Linked DNA regions of Schizosaccharomyces pombe. Changing the gene in region 1 together with any one later gene gives a genetic interaction. Each region holds a gene or a part of one and is shown on either strand. Other genes may lie near its edges. The genes, in order: set3, wdr7, ssu72 and png2.

The links.
Region 2: mutations in set3 (region 1) and wdr7 together harm fitness more than expected from each alone (negative genetic interaction), as found in Schizosaccharomyces pombe (2 studies listed by BioGRID).
Region 3: mutations in set3 (region 1) and ssu72 together harm fitness more than expected from each alone (negative genetic interaction), as found in Schizosaccharomyces pombe (3 studies listed by BioGRID, with this or other methods).
Region 4: mutations in set3 (region 1) and png2 together harm fitness more than expected from each alone (negative genetic interaction), as found in Schizosaccharomyces pombe (2 studies listed by BioGRID).

The regions. Positions count from the first base shown.
Region 1 is NC_003424.3:5,038,803-5,045,289, reverse strand, and holds set3 (putative histone H3 lysine methyltransferase Set3), read left to right. Parts: upstream 1-2,545; 5' UTR 2,546-2,808; coding exon 2,809-5,388; 3' UTR 5,389-5,744; downstream 5,745-6,487. Other genes in the region: ribosome biogenesis protein rlp24, read left to right, coding at 618-622, 673-811, 1,059-1,493; etp1 (monooxygenase-ferredoxin fusion protein), read left to right, coding at 6,187-6,487. UniProt on the Schizosaccharomyces pombe protein: Transcriptional regulator that acts via the formation of large multiprotein complexes that modify and/or remodel the chromatin. Required for both gene activation and repression.
Region 2 is NC_003423.3:2,268,702-2,275,764, reverse strand, and holds wdr7 (WDR7-like protein), read left to right. Parts: upstream 1-2,512; 5' UTR 2,513-2,570; intron 2,571-2,807; 5' UTR 2,808-2,988; coding exon 2,989-3,254; intron 3,255-3,334; coding exon 3,335-4,447; exon of another isoform or gene 4,448-4,490; coding exon 4,491-6,192; 3' UTR 6,193-6,197; downstream 6,198-7,063. Other genes in the region: SPOM_SPBC16H5.12C (uncharacterized protein), read right to left, coding at 1-984, 1,044-1,155, 1,464-1,626, 1,681-1,692; SPOM_SPBC16H5.14C (DHRS family dehydrogenase), read right to left, coding at 6,198-6,532, 6,587-6,717, 6,769-7,063.
Region 3 is NC_003424.3:3,175,266-3,179,292, forward strand, and holds ssu72 (RNA polymerase II CTD phosphatase Ssu72), read right to left. Parts: upstream 1,997-4,027; 5' UTR 1,866-1,996; coding exon 1,783-1,865; exon of another isoform or gene 1,734-1,782; coding exon 1,223-1,733; 3' UTR 1,162-1,222; downstream 1-1,161. Other genes in the region: spa2 (GTPase-activating protein), read right to left, coding at 1-464, 513-641, 728-794. UniProt on the Schizosaccharomyces pombe protein: Processively dephosphorylates Ser-5 of the heptad repeats YSPTSPS in the C-terminal domain of the largest RNA polymerase II subunit (rpb1).
Region 4 is NC_003423.3:1,119,549-1,124,210, reverse strand, and holds png2 (chromatin modification family protein Png2), read left to right. Parts: upstream 1-2,249; 5' UTR 2,250-2,261; coding exon 2,262-2,313; exon of another isoform or gene 2,314-2,353; coding exon 2,354-2,425; exon of another isoform or gene 2,426-2,472; coding exon 2,473-3,266; 3' UTR 3,267-3,550; intron 3,551-3,606; 3' UTR 3,607-3,629; downstream 3,630-4,662. Other genes in the region: GTPase-binding protein Rid1, read right to left, coding at 1-28, 78-610, 679-826, 965-1,383; Cu chaperone Atx1, read left to right, coding at 4,030-4,105, 4,229-4,359.

The DNA.
Region 1 (6,487 bases):
GTTTTGTAATACTAGACTTATTCAATTTGACTAAGTAAAACACACTTGTATAATAAATAGTATATTTTATTTGTAATGATAACAAGGTCTCGTGGCCCAATGGTTAAGGCGCTTGACTACGGATCAAGAGATTCCAGGTTCGACTCCTGGCGGGATCGTTTTTTCAAAAGCTCAAATATCGTGAATACTGTAAAATACCTTTTAAGATCGTGCGTCTATGTATCCTATTGCAATCCAGTAAACTGCATATGCATAGAGGGATTGTGTTTTTAAAAGCAATTAACCTCGGTAATATTATGTATTTATTTTTTTTGGCGTAGACACGCCTTTGATAAAGAAGCGATATGAGTTAACAAAAATTGAAGATAAAATTTATTATTAATAGGTTCCTAAGATTGCGTCCGAGACCATTCACTCGAAACTTCACCGAGATGGTATTTCATTAAATAACGCAACCTAACGATATATCATAAATTAGATAAGGCATATTTGGAATTCGCAAAACGCAGCTTAAGTAGAAGCTCGCATCTCAAATATGTGCGTTGTAGGGAGCGCGAATTTTTACCTGCTCTTAGCCAACTTGAACATACAAGGACGGGAAAGAATTTAGGGGGAATATGAGGTTTGTAGAGCTAAATGCCTTCAAAGTATTTATTACTAACGGAAATTTAGGGTACATACTTGCTATTTCTGCTCGGGTCCTGTTTACCCAGGACATGGAATAATGTTTGTTAGAAATGACTCCAAGGTCTTTCGTTTCTGTCGCAGCAAGTGCCATAAGAACTTCAAAATGAAGCGCAATCCTCGTAAGGTATGTTTTTTTTATAATAAAGGAATGCAAAAACGTTATACAGACTTGGTTGAGGAAGATGATTGATTTTGAAAGAGGAAAAATTTTTTTCTGTTGCCTTGTTTTGAAATGATACTTTTCTTCTTCAAATTCTACCTTAAATGGTGTACTTTTTCCTTTATATGCCCATGAACGAAGAAAGTTTTCTATTGTTTTTTTAAATGTTTTGCTTCCACCTATATGTATGTATACTAACTTCAATGTCTAGGTTGCTTGGACCAAAGCGTACCGTAAGGCACATGGAAAGGAAATGGTTTATGACACAGCTCTCGCAGTTACCGCAGCTCGTAGAAATGTTCCTGTTCGTTACGACCGTAATGTCATTGCAACTACTTTGAATGCCATGAAACGGGTTAGCCAAGTTCATGCCAAGAGAGAGCGTCTGTTTTACAAAAAGAGATTGGCTGGCAAACGTGCCCAAGAGCTTCAAGAAGCTCAAAAACTCATTGCTCAAAATGTTCCTCAATTTACCGAACCCGAAGGTGAGGTTGAAACTGCTGAGGTACAAGAACCCCAAATTGTTTCCGACGAGGAGTATACCATGGAAGAAGAAGTTGCAGAACCTGTCAAGATTCCCGTCCTCGCCAAAAAACGCAAAAACAAGAAATCTCGAAACTCATCTTCAGCCATGCAAATGGACTAAACACTCTTCTTCCTACAAAAATGTAACTCTCGATCTTCCGTTGGTTGCGTCCCGCTTCGTTCTTTTATTTTATTTTATTTTATTGTTTTATTCCTTTCAAATTTACAAAATAGTAGAAGAGAAGACATTTTTGGGGAGTGGTTTTCTTACACTTTCGAACTCTTTAGACACTTCGAAAACGTGTTTTTTAAAATTTATCTTGCATATCTAAAGTTGGCATTTGGTTTCGGCTTCTCTTCTCGTTTGGTTACTTCTTTGGACTTGCATGCTACGTGCAGATTAATATGGTTAATAATGGATTTTCGTGTATACATACTTGTAAACGAACCTATCTTCAGTTTGGAGCTTGTACAAGATACAACAGTCTAACAGTTTGAAAAATGGTTGTTTAGGAATAAATTGGTTTATATTATTAGTTTCGTTTATCACAAATGCCTCTTCGAAATGTAAAATTCTACTAGAACGATAGAACATTGCTTCATTATTTGGATTCAATTCTCCATGAGGTATATTTAGTAAGTCATAAAACAGTAAAGACTTTGTCATTTATGCTGGTTTCCTTGCATATACATTTCTCTATAGTTGACAAGCCTATTCAAGTCTCATATCACTGTGGAACTCATGAAAACAGATCCCTCTCCTTGTAAAGCTGTTTAAACCCTACAGTCCAATGCTAAAGGTTGTTAATTCTTTAGAGTTGCGAGTCCGTTATTGACGTTTTCGATTGCTTGCGCACACTCACTAACACCATACATTAGCTAACTACTGACACATTGCACCTGCCGTTTATCTCAACTCATTGTCTTAGTAGATGATTTTTTTTTTTCAAAATGGTTTCTTAGCAAGACTCATTAAAAACTCCTTGACAGTTTTATTACCTTCTAAAATATGTAAAATGAGAAGTTTCATAGAGAAATGAACTATTCTTCAACATCTTCTTCTCTTTGTTTTTACCGAGGAGACGTTAGACTGCGGAAACGTGGTTTATGGGACGTGTGTTTACACTCGGTGGATGGAAATGTTGAAGAGCGGAATAATCGCGACGTCGTATCAACTACCAAAATCGCGTATGCAAATTGAAAACAGAGTATTTGTTCAACTTACATGGTTTTTCGAGTATTTATATACTAGATTCCTAGTTTTAGGAGAGTTCAGATAATCGAGATAGCCATTGGTATAGTTGGGGCTAAAATCTTTGCTTTCATAAGAAAGCAGTAATTTCCAAGGTTAAATTGCTCCTGTACAGAAATTAGCGTTTATGAAATACTTCTTTACTTTGTTATAAGTTGATCGTTTTCTCTTTGGTTAAGTTAGCATGTGGAAAATACGATGCGTTTGTCCATTCGAGGATGATGACGGATTCACCATCCAATGCGAAAGTTGCGAGGTATGGCAACACGCCGTTTGTGTAAACATAGATGCAAATAATGTTCCTGAAAAATATTTTTGTGAACAATGCCAACCTCGTCCTATCGATGCCGACAAGGCGCATAAAATTCAACTAGCTAGGTTACAGCGCGAAGAAGAGCAGTCTAGGATATTATCGCGATCCCGTTCTTCCAACAACAAGAGAAGAACTAGTTTTGGCAAAAATGGTGCTAGTCCTACACACTCTGCGTCACCGAGACAAGGCAATAACACAGGCGCTAATGGCGCTTTATTTTCACAGTCTACCAACTCTTCGAACTCGGGGTCTTATCGTAACAGTGTGACTGGTGCAACATTGCCCAATGCTCATGCTCCACATTCTCAGAATCGCAGACGAAGATCCAACCACCTTAACAACCCACCAGAGGCTCCAATCACCGAGGCTTCTAACGAATATGTGTATTCGTTTCACTTGGAATACGTCCCTTTGGAATCAAACACCTTTTCTGCATCTGCGCTTGAGTATTCTAAGAATTTGGATTTAAAGAATTTAGATGAATCCGAAGTTTTAATGGATGGATGCCAAGTCGTACCTATATCATCTTCAAAGTTTTGTTGTAGTCGCTTTGGTTTGGTGTCAACTTGCGAAATTCCTCCAAATACACCCATTATGGAGGTGAAAGGAAGGGTTTGTACGCAGAATGAATACAAAAGTGATCCCAAAAACCAGTACAATATTTTGGGGGCTCCTAAGCCACATGTCTTTTTTGACTCAAATTCTCAGCTTGTTGTTGACTCACGGGTTGCTGGTTCAAAAGCGAGGTTTGCGCGTAAAGGTTGTCAGTCAAACTCCGTCGTTTCAAGTGTTTACATGAATGGGTCTAACAGTGTTCCTCGATTTATCCTCTATTCAACTACTCACATAGCTCCGGAAACAGAGATTATTGGGGATTGGACTCTCGATATTTCCCATCCATTTCGCCAGTTTGCGCCTGGTATGTCGCGACCCTCCTTCAATATGGAAGAGTTGGAATTACTTTCAGAAGTGCTTTCTACCTTCCTGTCGTTTAACGAATGTGCCTCACAGGATAAGAAAAACTGTGTTTTTTCCAGAGTTACTAAATATATTAAAGCGGCCCGCCGCGCTTCTACTGCAAACCGTGTCAGTGTAGCAAAAGACCGTTTGTCTCTGACACCTTCCTCAACCCCTTCTACCCCTAGCCCTGCTGAATCATTACCGCAACCTTCAAACCCCACATCGGTCTATGCCAAATCCTTGAAAGAGTTTTGGTTAGATAAGTACCGTCTTAGTATTTTGCAAAAATGGCCTGCTGTTAAGTCATTACCCACAGAAAGTGTAGGAATCGATGTAGTCATGGAGCCGAAGTTACAGCCATCTGTGAAGGAGAAAAAACCAACTAAAGATTTACAATCTCCACTACCCTCTGTTGAGGAAGATTCCTCTAATAGGGACAAGAAAACTGATATTGCTGATTTACACACTGATTCTAAGGTGGGCATTGCAGACGTCTTATCGCCCATTTCACCCGATGCTGCATTACAATCCGATGGTCCATTGAAAAAAGCAAAGGAACCTGAAGAATCCTCGATAACCCCTACAACTCCTCCATCTTTTAATGTTGGAGAATCACTAAGTAGGCGATCAGCCTCACCATTACAACATCCTCGAACAAGCCCAGATATGCTGGACAAAACTTCTCCTTGCAAAAGAGGATTAGGAACTATTACGACAGTCCACAAAAAGCATGGTTCTGTTGATCATTTGCCGTCAGTTAAAAGACGCCGTAGCATTGCAAATGATTTTCATGGCAAACCTGATTATAATAAAAGATCGCTATCTATCGAAAGGAAGCCGGAAGCCTTTAAGACTAAAGGTGACAGACCACATAAGGTCCATCCTTCTTTCCATAGAAATTCAGATTCAAAATTGAAACTCGAGCCGTCGAGTAAAGAAAAGAGTGGGTCCATGTTTTTTAATACGTTAAGGACTGTAAAAGATAAATCGCATGTTCACGACACTCAAAGGTCTTCTGACGTTAACTTTTCTAGACAGAATGGCACTCGATCCCATTCACCTTCGGTTAGTCCTGTCGGGTTTTCGTTTGATAAATCTCCTGTAACTACGCCTCCTTTGCCGACAGCTCCAGCACCAGTTATAACGAGTCGCCATGCTTTGGTAAACAACCAATTTCCTACGAACAATCCAAACATTTTGGACCACAAAGCCAACAACGGTGATGATATCTCGAATGCGTTAAATACTTCAAGAAGCGAAAACAAGCCCAATTCGAATCTGGTCCAAGGAAGTGTAGTCAAGCCTAGTAACACTTCAGCCTCTGCTCTTCCTACCTCAGCACCGAAGAAGCTATCTCTTTCTGAGTATCGACAACGACGTCAACAAAACATTCTGCATCAACAGTCGAAGGATAATCAAGCACATGGCGATACAGCTAGGCCTCACACCGTTCCTGCTGCTACAGTTTCTAACCCTTCATTTACGCGATAAAAATTCTAGAAGATGTTGTAAATCTTGAAACCATATAAATGTGTGGATGATTTTTTTTATTGGATATGGTATACGAACAAGTTTTCACGATTCTAAAGTTGGTACGATGACTGCATCTTTTTACCTTCATATGTATTTTCATTTCATTTTTTTATTATGATGATTGGTACTCGGAGCATATTTTACTGTCACCTGCTTCTGCATTCTTTTCTTCTTCGTTTGTAAATATTTAATGACTAAGTGTTTGGGCGAAAACTCTAGTTCCTTTTTTTTTTTTTAGTTTCTTTTGATTCAGAGCAACGAACCCTCAGTCGTTGCATTTTTCTGTTCCTAATTTGCACGTTTAGAACATTGTACAATATAATAATATTAATTTATAGCAGTTAAATGATTTATGTTTGTCATATAGAAGTTTCGGTTCGTAAGATTATAAGAACTAACTATTTAAGATGTCAGCTATTTCCGTATGCGACATGTACTAGATTAAATAACTTTTTGGATACGCAAATGAAGCTAGTACATTTTGAGTATTAAGTATCATAAATATAAACATCGATTCAAATATGCTACGTGCAGATTTCAGCGAATTGTCGCATCAAATTAAACTATTCATCGACGATCCACTCAGATCTTGTATATATCAAACGGCCTACGTTAATATAGCTTGTCTACTTATAGCGACTCTGAAAGTGCGCCGTTAGATTATTGTGGTATAGAACCGGGAGGTTAGGTACCATTCCTCTCTCTCCATGAACCTACTTTTTTAAGCGAAACGCAAACAAAAGTAAACAATTACCAATGAACATTTCACGTTCATCAGGTCTGATGAGACAGTTCCTGCTTCAGCCCTTACGGAAAGGCTGCGACATTTCTTGCCTTGGAAGGTCAAGTTGGAGAATGAGCAGGAGCTTCTCTGGATCGAGTGTTTTAAATGAAATTAATTTGTCACGGACTAAGAATTTATTTTTGAATGATTGTAAGTTTAATAAAAATTCATTTGAAAAGTTTTTTGCTCGCCGGCTGAGTAACTCAGTCGCTCCTACACCAGGTGGCATCCTACAGGAAACCGAAAAAATTCCGAGTAAAAAGGTCGCCTTTT
Region 2 (7,063 bases), on another chromosome or scaffold:
CGTGGAATGTGAGATGCATAATTTTCGTTACGACGTGAAGCCATGCGACGATAGCCTAAATTAAAGCCATGAGATTTGCTTTCCACTTGAACATGCCCATTTTCGACGACAAAAACAGTCCATCCAAAGGAAGCATCTAATAAATTGAAGTTCCATAGGTTTTTAAAAGCAGTGCCGGGAAGCATGTTATTCATAGCATATGAGTTAGTTGCATCGGGCATGCGAGAGACTAGGCGAACAACATTGTTTATTAGATGATGTTGTTCAGGGGTAACCATCTTCTCAACCTCAGCCTTAACAGTGTCATACACTTCCATAAACTGTGCACGGGCAGCCGAAAGTTTTTGAAGATAATGTTCAGGACTATGATTTACGCAAAACTCATTGTAGCTAGCTCCATAACGAAAATGAAGACCGGCGGATAAAGTCAGGTCAGCCTGGCAAGCAGTAGCTAATTGAGAAAGAACACCTTCTCTTCCAATGGGATGATGCGTAATAAAAATACGTGCCTCCTCTCTGTCAAGCAGGCTCTTAGCGGTTTCTATTAGTTCACCCATTTGAAGGATTGTAGTCCACATAGTACCCTGGCCACCAGCAATAGTTCCTTTACCGTCTCCATTGTCAAAAAGCTTAAAAGGGACATAAGGACCTCCAAGACCAAGTAAACGGATTTTCATATCTCCAATTTGCAATAGGTAGGAATGAAGTTCGTCCACTATGTTAAGGTTTGGAATAGAATATTCTCCAGAACGAAATTTTTCCAAAACGTGCACATCTTCGCAAGCTCCCCATACTACATATACAGGGACTGAGAATTTCTTCTCTTGTGACAAAAATTGAGGTAATTCTGAAAGCAGGCAATCGGGGTGAGAAGCAATACTATTCTTCAAATCCCCAATTGGATTCGAGGGATAATAATCAAAGTTTTTGGACCTAGGAAGCTTTTTTATGAGAGGCGAGAATTGGACAATGTGACGAAGAGTACTGAAAAAAGGTTAGAACAAAGAAAAATGAAACATAAAAATTTTTGACACAAAACATACCGTTCAGATATGCTAGGAAGTGAGGATCGCTCAAAAAATCCAAAGTCACCAGTGTGGATGACACAGGAGGCATTGGTTTCCTCAACCAGGCTATTTATTAAACTCAGTTCACCTGAAGGGATAGTTATTAGTAAAAACGCGTATTAAAGAGTAGTAATTTTAAGGATAGGAATAGCTAAGGAGAATAAAGTGTATGGACAAAATTCTTTTACGAACCAACGAGGATCTTTAATGACAAAATGAGTAAATTGAGCAATTGCGCTTCAACTCCTGCTAAGCCATTATGGATAAGTTCATGCAAAAGCATACAAATTCGCATCTTCTTATCTTAAAAAGTAAAACGATCGTCGATAATTCCCCCGATGGGGTGCTTTTGAATTCTCGCTGGCAGCTCTAAATCCATAAACAACGCATACTTACCTCGAACATCGGCAATACATAAGATCCTGGATTTATTATCCAATGTGAGTACTTGAGCTGAAACATCCAACGTGGAATTATTCTCGGAATCTGAGTACGTTTTAGAGGATTTATTTTCCAGCGTCCCAGTTGAAGGTTCCGCTTGAATATCACTTTTAGCCGTCTTTTATGTAATTAGTTTAAAATTTTTGCAAAGATTCATTAGATCTATACTTACATCCACGCTCATTATATCGTAAAAATCTAATGAAACGGATAAAACAGTAAATGGTGTTGAGTAAGGGTTTTGTGATGATGCCTCAGTTTCGGCACTGTACTACTTCCTACTACAATAAGAGAATGTTGCTTCGTAATGTTATAACTTAGATCCACCACAAACGAAGTAAAGTAAATTAAATATATAAATACACAAAAAGCAGCAGTTAATAGATAGTTTTTGAAATTTTTAACGTGACAATTGTATTTCTGTAGTATAAAACTCCACAAAAAATAAAAATAAAAATAAAATTTAGTATATATTAATATATATATTTATATATAAATATGAAAAAAAAAGGTGCTTCAATGAAGGATTACAAAATTCTTGAGAAAGCTCGGTAATCGGGACGGCAGAGTTTATTAGGGTATATGTTAAATGTTGCAGCTTTGGAATGGAATTGTTAACTTATTTTACACATACTATGACTTAAGTTTGCCTCGTGTACAGTAGATGATGCTACAGTCTGAAGTATATTTCAATTTCGTTATATCGTTTTTCCAGGTTGAGATTTGAATACTAGTTGCAGTGCGAAATTTACAACATTTGAAGTATGTAAATGTTCTGTTTATTTGGCAAATTGAATAAAATAAGACTGTTAGCAATTTTTTCGGTTTTTTTCTATGTACAACAATACTCTTTTGTGTTATTAAATAATGCTCGTTTACTATAACTTAAACTCGTTTGTACGCTGTATTCTTACTACTAAGTATTGTCAAGATTTGGAAGCAAGGGCATCGCCCCATCAACTAGGTCATATAGTATTCGCGTGCTTCAAGTAGCACAGCAGCACATTCCCACCACCGAGTGGAATTCGAAGTTGTGTGCAGTGGTATAAATTTTGGAGAAGTGTAAGTTGTATATAATTCAAGAATGAAGAGATTTATGTAATGATTGATACAATCGGAGCTGTCGATGCATACATTCTATTAAATGACGGATGGACGAATTGTTTACATGGCTATTTGTTAGACATTCTTGTCTATGGCTGTTGCAAGTTCTTCATTTTTCTTAGATTCTCTTCCTCAAATACTTGTTGCATCTTGTTTATTCGTTTGCGTTCCGAATTTGCTAATTTTACATTCAAGAATATCGCGGCAACTGTTAGTCTGCCTAAATATTGTTTTAATTTCATTTTCTGCGTTTTCAATTACTTTTATATTTAAAAAGGTTTAACAATTACTGAATTGAGTGGTTATTTGGGAAGCCGTGTTCGAACAGCGTTCAAAATTGATGTCAGCCTTAGACCGTTGTTGATTGCGAATCAAAATGGATTGGGTTGCATTGTCGAAAAGCTGTAAAACTCATTTGTTAGATGAAGGCCTTGACGTGTCTTCAATACATTGTTTTGATCAGTATTTGATAGTAGGCCAATGTTCCGGCCAAGTCATGGTATTTGACGTTTCTACAGACAATCATTTCACTTTGATCCAAACATTTATAGCACACAAACATTCCGTTTCTTCTATAGTTTGCCTTCCATTTGAAGCTGATGGAATTGTAGACCTATCAATCATTACACTCGACGAATCTGGGTATGTTGAGCAACTCTCATTAGCCGAGCAGCAATTATCAAATTCATTATTTAACTTATTTCTTGCTAACATTTTCTCAGATTACTTTGTCAATGGCTACTGAAAACATGTGACCGACGAGCTACTTTGCAATTGTGTGACGGGCTATGTTTAAAGCTATTTAGATTAAATAACAACTTTCTTGCTGTTACCGGAACCTTTTTGAAAATATATCTCATTAGAATCTCCAACTTTCAGATAGTTGCGACTTGGACTGGTCATGAGGACTGGCCTATTTTGTTTCCGTTCAAAGACGAAGCTTTATTAATCCCTGTCGCCTATTCAGATGGATCTGTATCTCTTTGGTCAGTTGATTGGTCAGCTCTTACTTTTAAAAGAAATTCAGTTACAAAAGCAGATGTTAAACCAACTTTTGGTAAGGTTATTGATGTTGTACCAGCAGATTGCATTTCTTCCAATTATGCGCTATATGTATACTCGGATGCGGTAGTACTATTGGAATCGCATGAGAAATTTATAGCTTCATATTCACTTGCAGAGATAACATCTGTATTTGTTTTGGCTGATGGCACGGCTTGTATTTTTACTCTTTCGTCTTCAACTTTACTCAAACTTCATCAATCTCCTGAACCTCATTTCGAATTAATTTCTAAGTATTCTGGAGATTTTCCATGGAAATCGTGCACCATTTTAAAAAGTAAACCCGTTAGTTTGTGTGTTTATCCCGAAAAAATAACTTTCAATTGGTTAACAGAAGGAACCGTAGACTCATGCAATCTTTGTAAGTTGAGCAATACAGCTGCTGTTTCCTACGCTTATACGGACTCTCTTAATTTATTCCTTGGAACAACCTCTGGTTTAGTGATGTTTTCTTTGTTTGACTGGTACCTTCACAATGATCCAGCTCCTCTTTACTCTTTTACAAGGGTTTCTGGAATTGTAACATATATGAAAATATTTGAAACTGAACATTCACGCTCAATTTTAGTTGTTGCTACCAAAACTGGAAAGGCTTACTTTTATCAACAACTTCAGGGTGAAAGATGGAGATTTCTCTGCGAGCGTGCTTTGCAATCTTCTTCAATTACTAAAATTATTCATGCAAAGAAATCATTATCTTCTGGTTCATCAGGCTTATTTATTTTTATGAGTTTAGATGGCTCATTGTGTGCCTTGGATGAATCTTATAATCTGTAAGTTATCAGTGTGTTATCAGTTATTAATCGACTTTTATAGTCTAAGCTACTTGCCATCTGATGGTGCTCAAGTTGAAACTTTGTACTCATTTCCCGATTTAGATCAAATCTATGTTGCTTATGACAATTTTCAACTATTAAATTGGGACGTTGTGGATCAAAAATGTTCTGAAGGAAATTATTCAGATATTATTGACTCTTCGTTCATATCTATTGGTACTTTTGATAAATCTAACCTCCCTACTTTGTATCATGGTTCTTGTGCTTTACTCACCGATAATTTGGTTACTGTTTTTTTAGACGCTCATGATTTAGTACTGAACCTCAATTTTTCTAATGAAAATTACATAGAAAAAACGTATATTGACGAGTTCCTTGACTTTATCCAACCTCCTTTCCTAAACTCTGATATAGAGATGGAGCATCAGTTGTTAGGTACTGTTTTTGATCAATCCAGTTTGCATCTTGGTGTGGGTAAGCCAGATGGAAATGCCATACTTCGATTTGACACCGAAATGAAGTCAATAATAAATACTGCACCAAATTGTTCCGCTTTGCTGTTATATCTATATTTTTCTCTAATGGTTCCTTTATGTAAATATGATGGGCTGAGCGATACCAAATTGACTGAAGGAATATTATTAAAGTTAAAAGACCTGAAAACGGTTGATTACAGTATTTCCGTTCTTTCATACGTCTGGAATAATTCAGGCAAGGTTATGCAGGGTATAATTAAATCAATGTTGTCGAGAACATTGGAACTTATATCTCCAGAGGAACTTCAGAGGCTTATATATTATTATTTTGAGTTTTTTACGACTACAGGTGGAGAGTACTATCTGAAAAAGGAGGTGCAACATTCACTGTACATCTTGTCATTAATTGTCAGTTTACGGCCTTCAGCATTTGATGTTTCACAATTGAAATTTTTGTCTTCCTATTTATTACAAAAATCCGAAAGTATGGACTATGACTTAACAGCAATTCGCCTGTTGAGTAATGGTTTTTCCGTGTTTTCAAAACATATTGATCCTGCAAAGTTTATATACAACCTGGTTTTGTCATCCTTAGAGAATACTAAGGATTTGGATGATAAAAATAGCATTCTCTATAGATCAATAGTGGATGTCTCAGTTTCGAATGCTGTTTTACTGCTTACATGTTTATGCGATGAAGTTTATGAGCAAATGAAATCAAATTTACGTTCCGTTATACTAAAAGTTGTGTCTTTGGCAATTGAAAACACACAATCCGAATTTTCTTTATTTAATCAATTGATCACGGAAAAATTACTTCCAATCCTTTACTCTAGCCGCTCGGTTGAAGAAGTTCACGACGTTACTAACGCAATTGCAACCCAATTTCCATTTGCATGTTTTGATAGTAAGGTGGAAAAATATTCCTACATTGACGATGGTGATCTTGTGGTTTATGAAATAGCTAAAAGAAGGAAAGTCGTCAGCAAGGAAAACGCCGAATGTGATATTCAGGTATTGTCCGCCAGTCCTTCTGGTGACTATTTTGTTGGAGTCAGTGCTACGCAAAAGGAATGCATTATTTGGAAATACAGCCAAGATTTCGTAAAATTCTTGAACTTATCAACACCTTCATTAACGATCCGAAAACGTATATTATTACAAACTAACAAAACGAATGAGGTTGAAATTCCTGAAGTCCTATGGATTAGCCAGTCATCAGCAGAAGTCCATATTGGGAGCACCTTTGCTATCATTGACTTGTAGGTGGATTATGAATAAATTTTATCCATGCCACTAAATAGACGAGCCAATTTTTGTATTGGAAGTGGGAAAAACCTCAGTAGAGGCATAAAACGTGCGTAAAATGGATAGTAAAAACGACCCGATTTGTTTGTATATAAGTTTTGAATAATAATTTTTGCTAAGTTTTGAGGTTCTAGTAGAGGGGCTAATACTCTGTTTGGGGTATCTTTTTCGAACATTGTAGATTTAATTTGCCCTAAAACATAAAGAGAAAACTTGAAGTTGGGATGCTGTGATAAAACCTCTTCCTCTAATGTTTCATGTAGCGAAACTAGTGCCGCTTTTGAAGATGAATAGGCACCTGTTAATCACGTTAGAAAGGAAAAGCAAATTTTATAAAATCAACCCCACTTACCGACTCCCATCGCACTAAAATAAGCCAAGGAGGATGCTATGTTGACCACATGAGGATTTGGATCTTGTAAAAGGAGAGGAAATAATGCAGATGTAATTGCCAGCTGTCCGATCACATTTGTTTCAAAGCATCTAAATTAAGCAGTTAGAAAATAAGGCTTACTACGCTTAACCTGTACTTACTTTTGTAATTCTTGTCTTGATATAGACAGCAAATGATTTTTTGGAGCAATAGCTGCAGCATTGATCAGAGCAAAAGGGGTCCTGTTCATCTTTTTCAAAGAATGGACACATCCTTCTACGTCCTTATCTTTGGTAATATTACATTTCAAAGCACTAAATTTAGAATTGTACTGTAGAAAAGATGCAGGCTCAGTACTGTCCAAAGAGGCGACGCTGAAGCCTCTATCCAACGCCTCTTGAATAATAGCATGACCAAGAATCCCACTTCCTCCTGTTATCACAATCAGTCCTTTAG
Region 3 (4,027 bases), 1.9 Mb from region 1:
AATTCCCGTCTGAGCACCCTGGCTCAATGACGAGGTAGAGGAATTATTTGCTTGAACAGTATTTAAAGCATTGGTATCTGGAACATTCGGTAGACGATGAGACAAGGAAGTAGGAGAATCAGTATGCGTTCTATTAGCATAACTTGGTATAGTGGGAGAGCTTGTGGTTCTTTGTTCAGTTGGATGAAGGGAAGCGGAAGAGGCGTTGGCACTGCTATACAGATCGTGCTTGGGAGCGGAAGCAGGTAAACGTTGCACCTGAGGAGGAGGCTGAGAAGCAGCTCTAGTCATGTTTGGTGGTGTATTTGAAGAAACTTCTTTTAAAGCACCACTATATCTTGATTGAACTTCAAAAAACACATCCATACAAAGATCCCGAAGCCTTGTAGGAGCAAGACTAGAAAGTTTTTGTCGAGCATGATTCCGCTTGGGATGATAAGAATCAACAGGAGGTAAGAATCTGACTATAAGGGGTTAGAATTGTAGACTCATAAGAGTGTAAATCAAAATACCTTTGGGATCATTGTTGATCCTACGCTGTAGTTCATCAGCAACGTCTGTTAAAAGTTCACTGAACTGAATATGAGACAAACGCTGAAGCTTTTCACGTGGCCTCGCATTGGCGTTCCTTAGGGCTGGGTCTATAAAATAGCGTTAGAGGTGATTACATTGTTTCCGTGGGTCAAAGCAATTGTACAGCTTAATTTTAAACCAATTTTTAACATACCTTTAACAAATTCAGGCTCTAAGTAACGAGCTAAAAACCGATATTGACGAATAATAATACTTTGCATAGTTTGAAAGCAAATTTAAGACTAGGGATTTGAGGAAAGAAGTTGGAAAAAATGAGCTTTCTATCTTTTTCAGGGAATTAAATGATATGTCCTTTCTTTTACGCTGACTTGAAAAAGATAGACTGTGTAAATTAACTTAAGGCAGTTGTACTAATACAATGGGCAAGGACGTGCTGGACCCTAAATTAATTTGATATAATTTTTCTGTGAATTAAATTTTTAAAGAAAAAGTCTTTAAAATGCCTAATGTACTGCCAAACACATTAACAGGCAAACGAGTGCGAAGAGAAATCTTCTATCTAAAAATATTACTGACAGCTTTGCGTCCTTGCCAATTTACTGTGTTTATTACTTAGAACGTTGTAGATATACTAGGAGAAAGGACATGCTTTATTAAATTCGATAACGACGTGTAACGATAAATGATATTAAAAAAAATGAATAGTATACAATACAGGAAGTTTAGGATGGTTAGATTGAAAGTCGGCCATTATAGAAGGGAACAGCTCTTCCAATTTATCCTGTGCCTCGGTTAATTTGTTGACTAAATCGAGAATGGCCTTTCCACCTACGCTGGCCTCCTCATGGTTATCTTTAATGTCAACGTTTATTAAGTACACAGGTCGATTCAATGTTTCACCTCGACGATACAGATCCTCACAAATGGCATCATAACATCTTTCTTCGCAGGTTATTACAATGTTGTATATGGAATCTTGGTCCTGCCACCGACAAGGAGCGCGCTTTATACGGCGATTTCGGTCAAGCATTTTAAGCAATCCATTGGCCGTGTATAGCCGGGAATCCTGGGCCTCGAGCTCTTTATAAATTTCATCATATGGATACCCAAATTGATAAATGTTAGGTTTGTCAATACTGGGACCCGGCAACCGTACAGCTGAACCTGTTCCGAACGAATCAACTTGGTATCCAGCATTCCTTCAATGGAGATTAGCAAACTACCTCATAAAATTCAAAAATGACATACTTTAAGACGTTGTGAGCTTCCATACTTCGATTTTGGTTCGAAGCACAAATTACACTGATCTGGAGGTTGGTTTTGGGAGCCATTATTTGGTATTATTGTTTACTGACTAACGTTGGTAAGGCTTTAAAAGGTTTTACTTTCCTTTCTTTATTATTGCAAGATTTTTATCTTACTAAATTAGACATACAGCCAAAGGTCCAAACTCGTTCTTTGCAGTGTATACAATATGACACGCTGTAAGCAACAGCCTTTCAAAATTACCACGCTGCTTTACGATGCGATATATCGATATGTTGCATCACAAAAGCAGAGGCTCTTGAAATGAATCTCATCTTTGCAGAGTATAATTTCTACTTTAATTAATTATCTTAAATGTTTTATAAAAATAAAAATTCTCCACGTTGTATTCGTCTGATAGCAATTTTTCAAAGATAGGGTTTGAATAAATACGTCTATACTCCACTACCCATACTACATTAATGATTGTTAACTTTACAAAATTATGCCTAATTCAAAAACTCCTTATTATAATATTAATAATAAAACTACTCATCGCCAGCACTTTAAAAAGCCGTATAAAATTAGTGAGAAATCATTGTATTGTCAAACAAAATTTGCGGTTGGATCAATCAACAATTCTTGGCTGTTAATCTCAAAATGAATAAAGTTCAAACATACAAACTGGCGTATGAAGCATTAAGTTTTGAGCTGATCTACTTAGAGTAGTTTCGTACATACCATACTCTTTCATTTCATTTATCGCTTAAGATTTCCAAGTTTTGAGTATTATATAGGGTAGGTCTTCAATCTTTGTGACTGTTTCAATAAATTCGATTTAGTATATATTTTGCATAACTTAACCAATTTTAATTCAACGCGAAATGATGACTTTAGGCATTTGTCCAAAGGATACAACTTCAGTTATTGAATTAGTACCACTGTAGACAAAACCCTAGCTACCTTTTAATTTTGTCTGATCGTGTGTAAAACGTTTACGACAATAATGATTAGCTTAGTTGAAGATATCGCGGATACTGAAAAATATATGACCAGCCTAAATAAAATCGGTGTATGTAATTTTGTCTTGAAAAGCTATAAAGTTACTGTGTGGTTAATGCAGTTTTTCGTTAGTAGAAAATACAAAAATCAGGTTCACTCAGTAAGCTTCTTAAAGTGAAATATGACATTCAACAGTACTCATTAATTTTGCGAATCGAAACAGTTAGTGACTTGCCTTAAATATAGTCAGTAAATAAGAAAAAAAAAAGAAAATGTAAAGGCACATCATATTATGCAAAGAAGGACTACGTTGCTATAATGCATGCAAACCATATCCAATAAGTAAAAGACGTAGATGCTATTTCTATATCAAAAGAAACATATTCACATGTTTTATATACAAAGAATCCGTCAGAAAAACCATACGTGCTAACTGGCAAATCGGCTCTTCCCATAAGTAGACGATGATCTTGCAGCGTCACGGTATAATCCTAATCTAGTGATTTCGTTCCCCTTTTCTAAAGCTTTTCTCGTTCGCTGGACTTTACGCCAAACAGACTTCTCCTTTTTAATATACCATATGTTTCAGTTAACTGATCGCGCAATTCAGGCTTAATAAACGGTAAGCAGTCTATATTTCTTTTTCTCTTTCGCTTCAAAATAGAGCTTTAATTTAGTTATTGTGATCAAATAGTCTCAATTATTCGTCTGCTATGAAGAATGTCAAAGCTGTTACGGTTATCATAATTAAAACCACTAACACTGACAAAACTGTTATTTCTTTTGATCTCTTGAGCTAACTGAGTAGACTTAATCACAGCGCAATTTTCTTTGCTTTCGTGTCAAACGATTATGACAAACCATTGTGGAAACATTTTGTACATTAGCAGTTATTTATTCTGCGCTTTCATTATTTACACCATTCGCCAAATTAGACCATCTTGAAGTGCAAAGTAGTAAATACATACGCTTCATGTCCAACGAGTAACAGTAAGAGTTCAATGAAAAAGGGGTCTAATACTTTCCGCTTTCACTATTTTATGTTGCATTTAGGGAAAAAGTTATGATGAGTAAACACCAACTAAAATTGACCACATAACTTAATATTGGTTACAGATTCACTGGACAAGCACCAGAAGTAATTTGCATGTATAGCAGTGAAATAGAGACTTGCTAAAATACAGTTAGTTAGTACTTGCTCACTTATATTTGTAAAGTCGTGTCAAAGTATTTAGACAGTCAAACA
Region 4 (4,662 bases), on another chromosome or scaffold:
TTCATGTAGCTTCTTATGGAATTTTTGACTAGATTTGTAAGTGCCTGCTTATATAAATATTGAAAAAAATTGCTTACCTGCTCTTTCGAAACCGTAACCCCATGATTCTTTCTAATCCACTTAGCTGGAGTTCCAAACGTTTTCTTTGACGTTTCTCTAAAGGTAAGCCTTCGAGTAATTCATTAATAAGATGGATGTGAGCTGCAACATAGCTGGTGGCTTCGGTTTCTATACCACCAATAAACCCCAATGGAGCCTCGTACACTTGATTATATTGTTTCTCCAAATCAATGACATTAGAATCGTGGTTCCACACCCAGAAGACATTACGGCTAACATCTTCAAGTTCGATAATCCAACGGCGAAAAGGTCGATCAACTCGAACGTTTTTTAAGAATTCAACCTCTTCATCCTTATCGTCTTTAATAGAAAACAAGGAAAAAACTTGCATTGCACCTTCTTCTTTGTCGAGATGAGCTTTGTAAAAGGAGTGAACTATTTGAACGAGTACTTCCCTTACGACAAAATCACATGGCTGTTTCTTTGAAAGCAAAAGGGAAATCAATCGCTCGACATTATAAGTGGATTGAGATAAACATTCCAATCCGCGCTAGGAAAAACGTTAGCAATTGTCAAAGGCAATGAAGACATAGGTCTAAATGTATATCACATGCATACCTGAACAGTGCACATGGCTTTAACGCAAAGTAAAAGTTGCTCCAGTATAGAATCGTGCAGTTCCTCTCTCCATTCAAGGCGAGAGATTTTGTCGATTGTACAAAATACTACACCGAAACCGCCGTTGTGTATAAACTTCTCTACCCATCTGTATTGCAGTTAGTATGAAAAACCTCAAAATAAACGAATGATTTATCATTCAATCAAAACAATAGTAGTGCCAAAAAAAAAGATAATTTAAGCATCACCACTTTGATTCACGTAGCTGCACAAAATGTAAACATACATTACTTGCTCGTTTCTGAGAAGTAGAGCTAATTTGTGTATGATAGATTCATCGATTGAGTCAATTTTTGTATTTACAATATACGAAATAAAGTCGTCAGGTTGCTCGTAACATGGTTTTTTACGCATCCAAGCAATTAATTTATTTCGCTTTTTCTGGTCTTTTTGCTGTAAACTGGACACGATTTCCATTTTAATTCCTTCATTAAGGGAAAGTAAACTCTTTGAGGCCTCTGAAGAAAGAACTTGAGGCTTGATTAAATCTTCAAAACATTGTGGCATTTCATCTTCAGAAGGGGTTGAAGGAGTCTGAAAGCTCAAGCTATCCTCTCGATCAGAAGAATTAACGCTTTCAGAGAGCCCATCAGAGCTCAAAGAGCGAGCACCTAAAAGCCGTTTTACTGAACGTAGAGAATTCATAATGTGTGTAAGGAATAGTCGTGTGGTATATTTACATAGAAATGGGAGGGCTGGTATATATTAAAATGGCACGCTGACGCGTCCGAGGAACAAGCCACAGGAACATGAAACGGACAATATCGGGAATTAATTCAATAATTAGGCTAATACGCGGAACGGTTGTTCCAATTTTTAATATGTACAATACTAAGCTATGGCCCTAGACTTAGGGAAGGAAAATAGCACATGAATGTTCGAAAAAAAAAAAGAGAAAGCTTCCGTTATTTAATAAACCATACTATTTACGCCTATCATTATTTTCATTAATAGCTATACATAGTAAATCCAACTTGCAAAATTTTGAGATTACGCGTGTTGAGTTAATGTTTGATATTGGTATATACACTATCGTATGTAAGTCAAATGAGAAGAATGGAAAAATAAGAATGTATTGAGCTTTAAGATATAGTAAATCTCGGTCTATTTTGGGTAAGAATTTTAATATGTACTTCTCAATTATCTGGAATTCACTGAAGGTTGTGAAAAGGAAAAATATTTCGGACATCCAAAATTTGCTATTATAATGAAGGTGCAACTAACTGAGTAGTAGAACCGATATCTAAAATAAATTGATTATTTGGAAATGTATGGTTAAACAAGAAGGCTCATATTACCTGAACTAACATAATGTCGTTAAAAATTACAGTTCAAAGCAGTGCTGAAATTATACTAGAATTCTGGTACATTAAAACGCGTCGCTTATAATAGAATCACTTCTTTCTATCAATAGATTAAACATACAATTTTGCTATTTCACGTAGGGATGTAGTAAAGTGAGAGAAGTAGGTGGGACATACATTTCCTACTCAGCACAACGTAACGTGCTTAGTGTCAATATCATGGGGACGAGTGGAATTGAAATATTTGCAGCTTTAAATGATTTCACAGATGGTAAGAGGCGAAAATAAACACATTGATTAACATTTTACAGCCATTGTTTCAGTCCCTGAATCAGTATGTGGAAAATTCACGAGTTTGAAAGAGATCGATGCACAAGTACGAGGTAAGTGAAATATATATTTTTAAAACGTGTGGTTAACAAAATCTTAGATATCCGTCAAAATGTCATACAGGAAATTGGTGTGGTTCTAAAAAACGAGAAAAATGACGAATTGTCAGGAGAAGAAAGATGTGAGCGATTACAAAAGACACTAAAAGAGATACTTCCATATTCTGATTCAAAGATTTGTTTGGCCACAGACGCAATGAATAATATCAAGAGTTGTATCGACCGTTTGGATGCTGGGTTTGAATATGTTGAATTGGAGATTCCCCAACAATTGAGATTGGGATATCCAGACGATCGAGCTTTAATGAATTATCATTCTACTGTGACTCCTCAAACTTCTGAAAGGAGACGGGAAACCCGTCGGCATCAAAATAACCAGCATTCCCAGCAATATTCCTCTCAGGAACGGTCGTCTTCATATAACAACTTTGAAGACGCTTCATCGCCGCAATCTTCTTATCACACCCCTACAAAGCGTCGAAAAAATGCTGTTCCTAGAAAATCATCATCACCTCCATTATCGAGTACAAAGCATGCGCCGCAATCTACGGAGAGGCGACCAGTGCGGAGATCAGAATCTCGTTTAAAACAGACAAATGGGGAACCACTTGTCAAACACGACACATTAGATTCAAGTGATATCAGCCGTGAAGGTGAGCAACTTTACTGTTACTGTCAACAAGTTTCCTATGGACAAATGATTGGATGTGATAACGAAAATTGTAAAAGAGAATGGTTCCATTTACCTTGCGTTGGTCTAGTAGAACCACCGAAGGGGATCTGGTATTGTAAAGAATGTGAAGAGTTAGCAAAATCATCTGAAAGTCGTCAATGAGCCGGGATCCTTTTTATTTTCTTTCACCTTCTTTTTATTGTTAATTTCTCAGTGTTTGACATCGTTATGAAACATCCATTACCACTGCTTGCATTGCTCTTGTTTACTGAATCAATTAAACTAACGACAACATTTCTATACCTCATAAAACCCTTATAACGATTTTTATGGTTTCGTTAAAGGATACAACCATCAGCTACGTATCTCGGTATACTATTTAATGATATGTAAAACTACGGTGTGTTTTGTTTGCAATCTACAAAAAGCGGATGCAATATGTATGAGTAAGTAATATTATAATTATTTTTATTAGAAATTTGTTAGTAACTAGTCATTGAAGTAAGGAAGCAATTTTAGGCGCAAACTTTATTAAATTTTTTCTTTGAATTTGTTTTGTTAGCTTACATACTTGTTAATAAATGGAAATTCCTTCATGCATGTTTCAAAAGCGAATTTAAATAGTATTCAAAGTAATGACAAATAGTGATACACAACATAGTGTATCATAGCTTAGTGCATTATTACTGACACACATCTATAGCAAATATATCTCTCTCGTTATTTTTTTAAGGATACCTCCTTGCATTACGTCTAAATGCTTTTACTAATGGATTTTCCAACTTATCGTTTCCCTCCTTCTCATCTAAAGTAATTCTTAAAATTGGGATTTTCTTGAATTTTAAATACTGTTTTTATTTGTGTTACAAAAAAGTTAATTAACAGTTTCTTGTCCAAATCTCGTTGAATTTTTGATCATCTGATAATGAAGTACCAATTTAACGTTGCTATGGCTTGTGATGGCTGCAAAAATGCCATCGATCGCGTTTTAACTCGTCTGGGTGCGTTTTAAAAAAAGTCATTTTTTAAGTATTTAGATTTACATTTATATAAGTATTTGTTATATATGGTTTTTCAGGAATTTTGTTGATGAATCTGTGTACTAATTAAGTAATGTCGAGTAGGTGTTGAAGACAAATCCATTTCGGTCGAAAAACAAGAGGTTATCGTTACCACAGACAAACCATATGAGCTCGTAGAACAAACGATTAAAAAAACTGGAAAGGAAGTTCGCAGCGGTAAAGTCCTAGAGTAGAGCATGGCAAAAATTACGACTTTAATCATATCTGATCGGTTCTCTCAAAAATATGCTCTTGACTTTTTTGTTGTCGCCTTATTGTTAAGATTTATATATACGACTAGACGAGGCTATTTGTTTTGTAGGATACAGCGTACTGCTTGAGCCTTTGGTGTTATTTTCCTCCAATAAATTGTGATAAACTTATAGACGTTTTCCGGTTCATTTCAATTGTCTTGGTAAGTTGAACCCCGCTTTACATGCCGTTTGTAATATTTATTGTGATCATTGTTTATTATCAGACTGCACTTTCAGTCATTT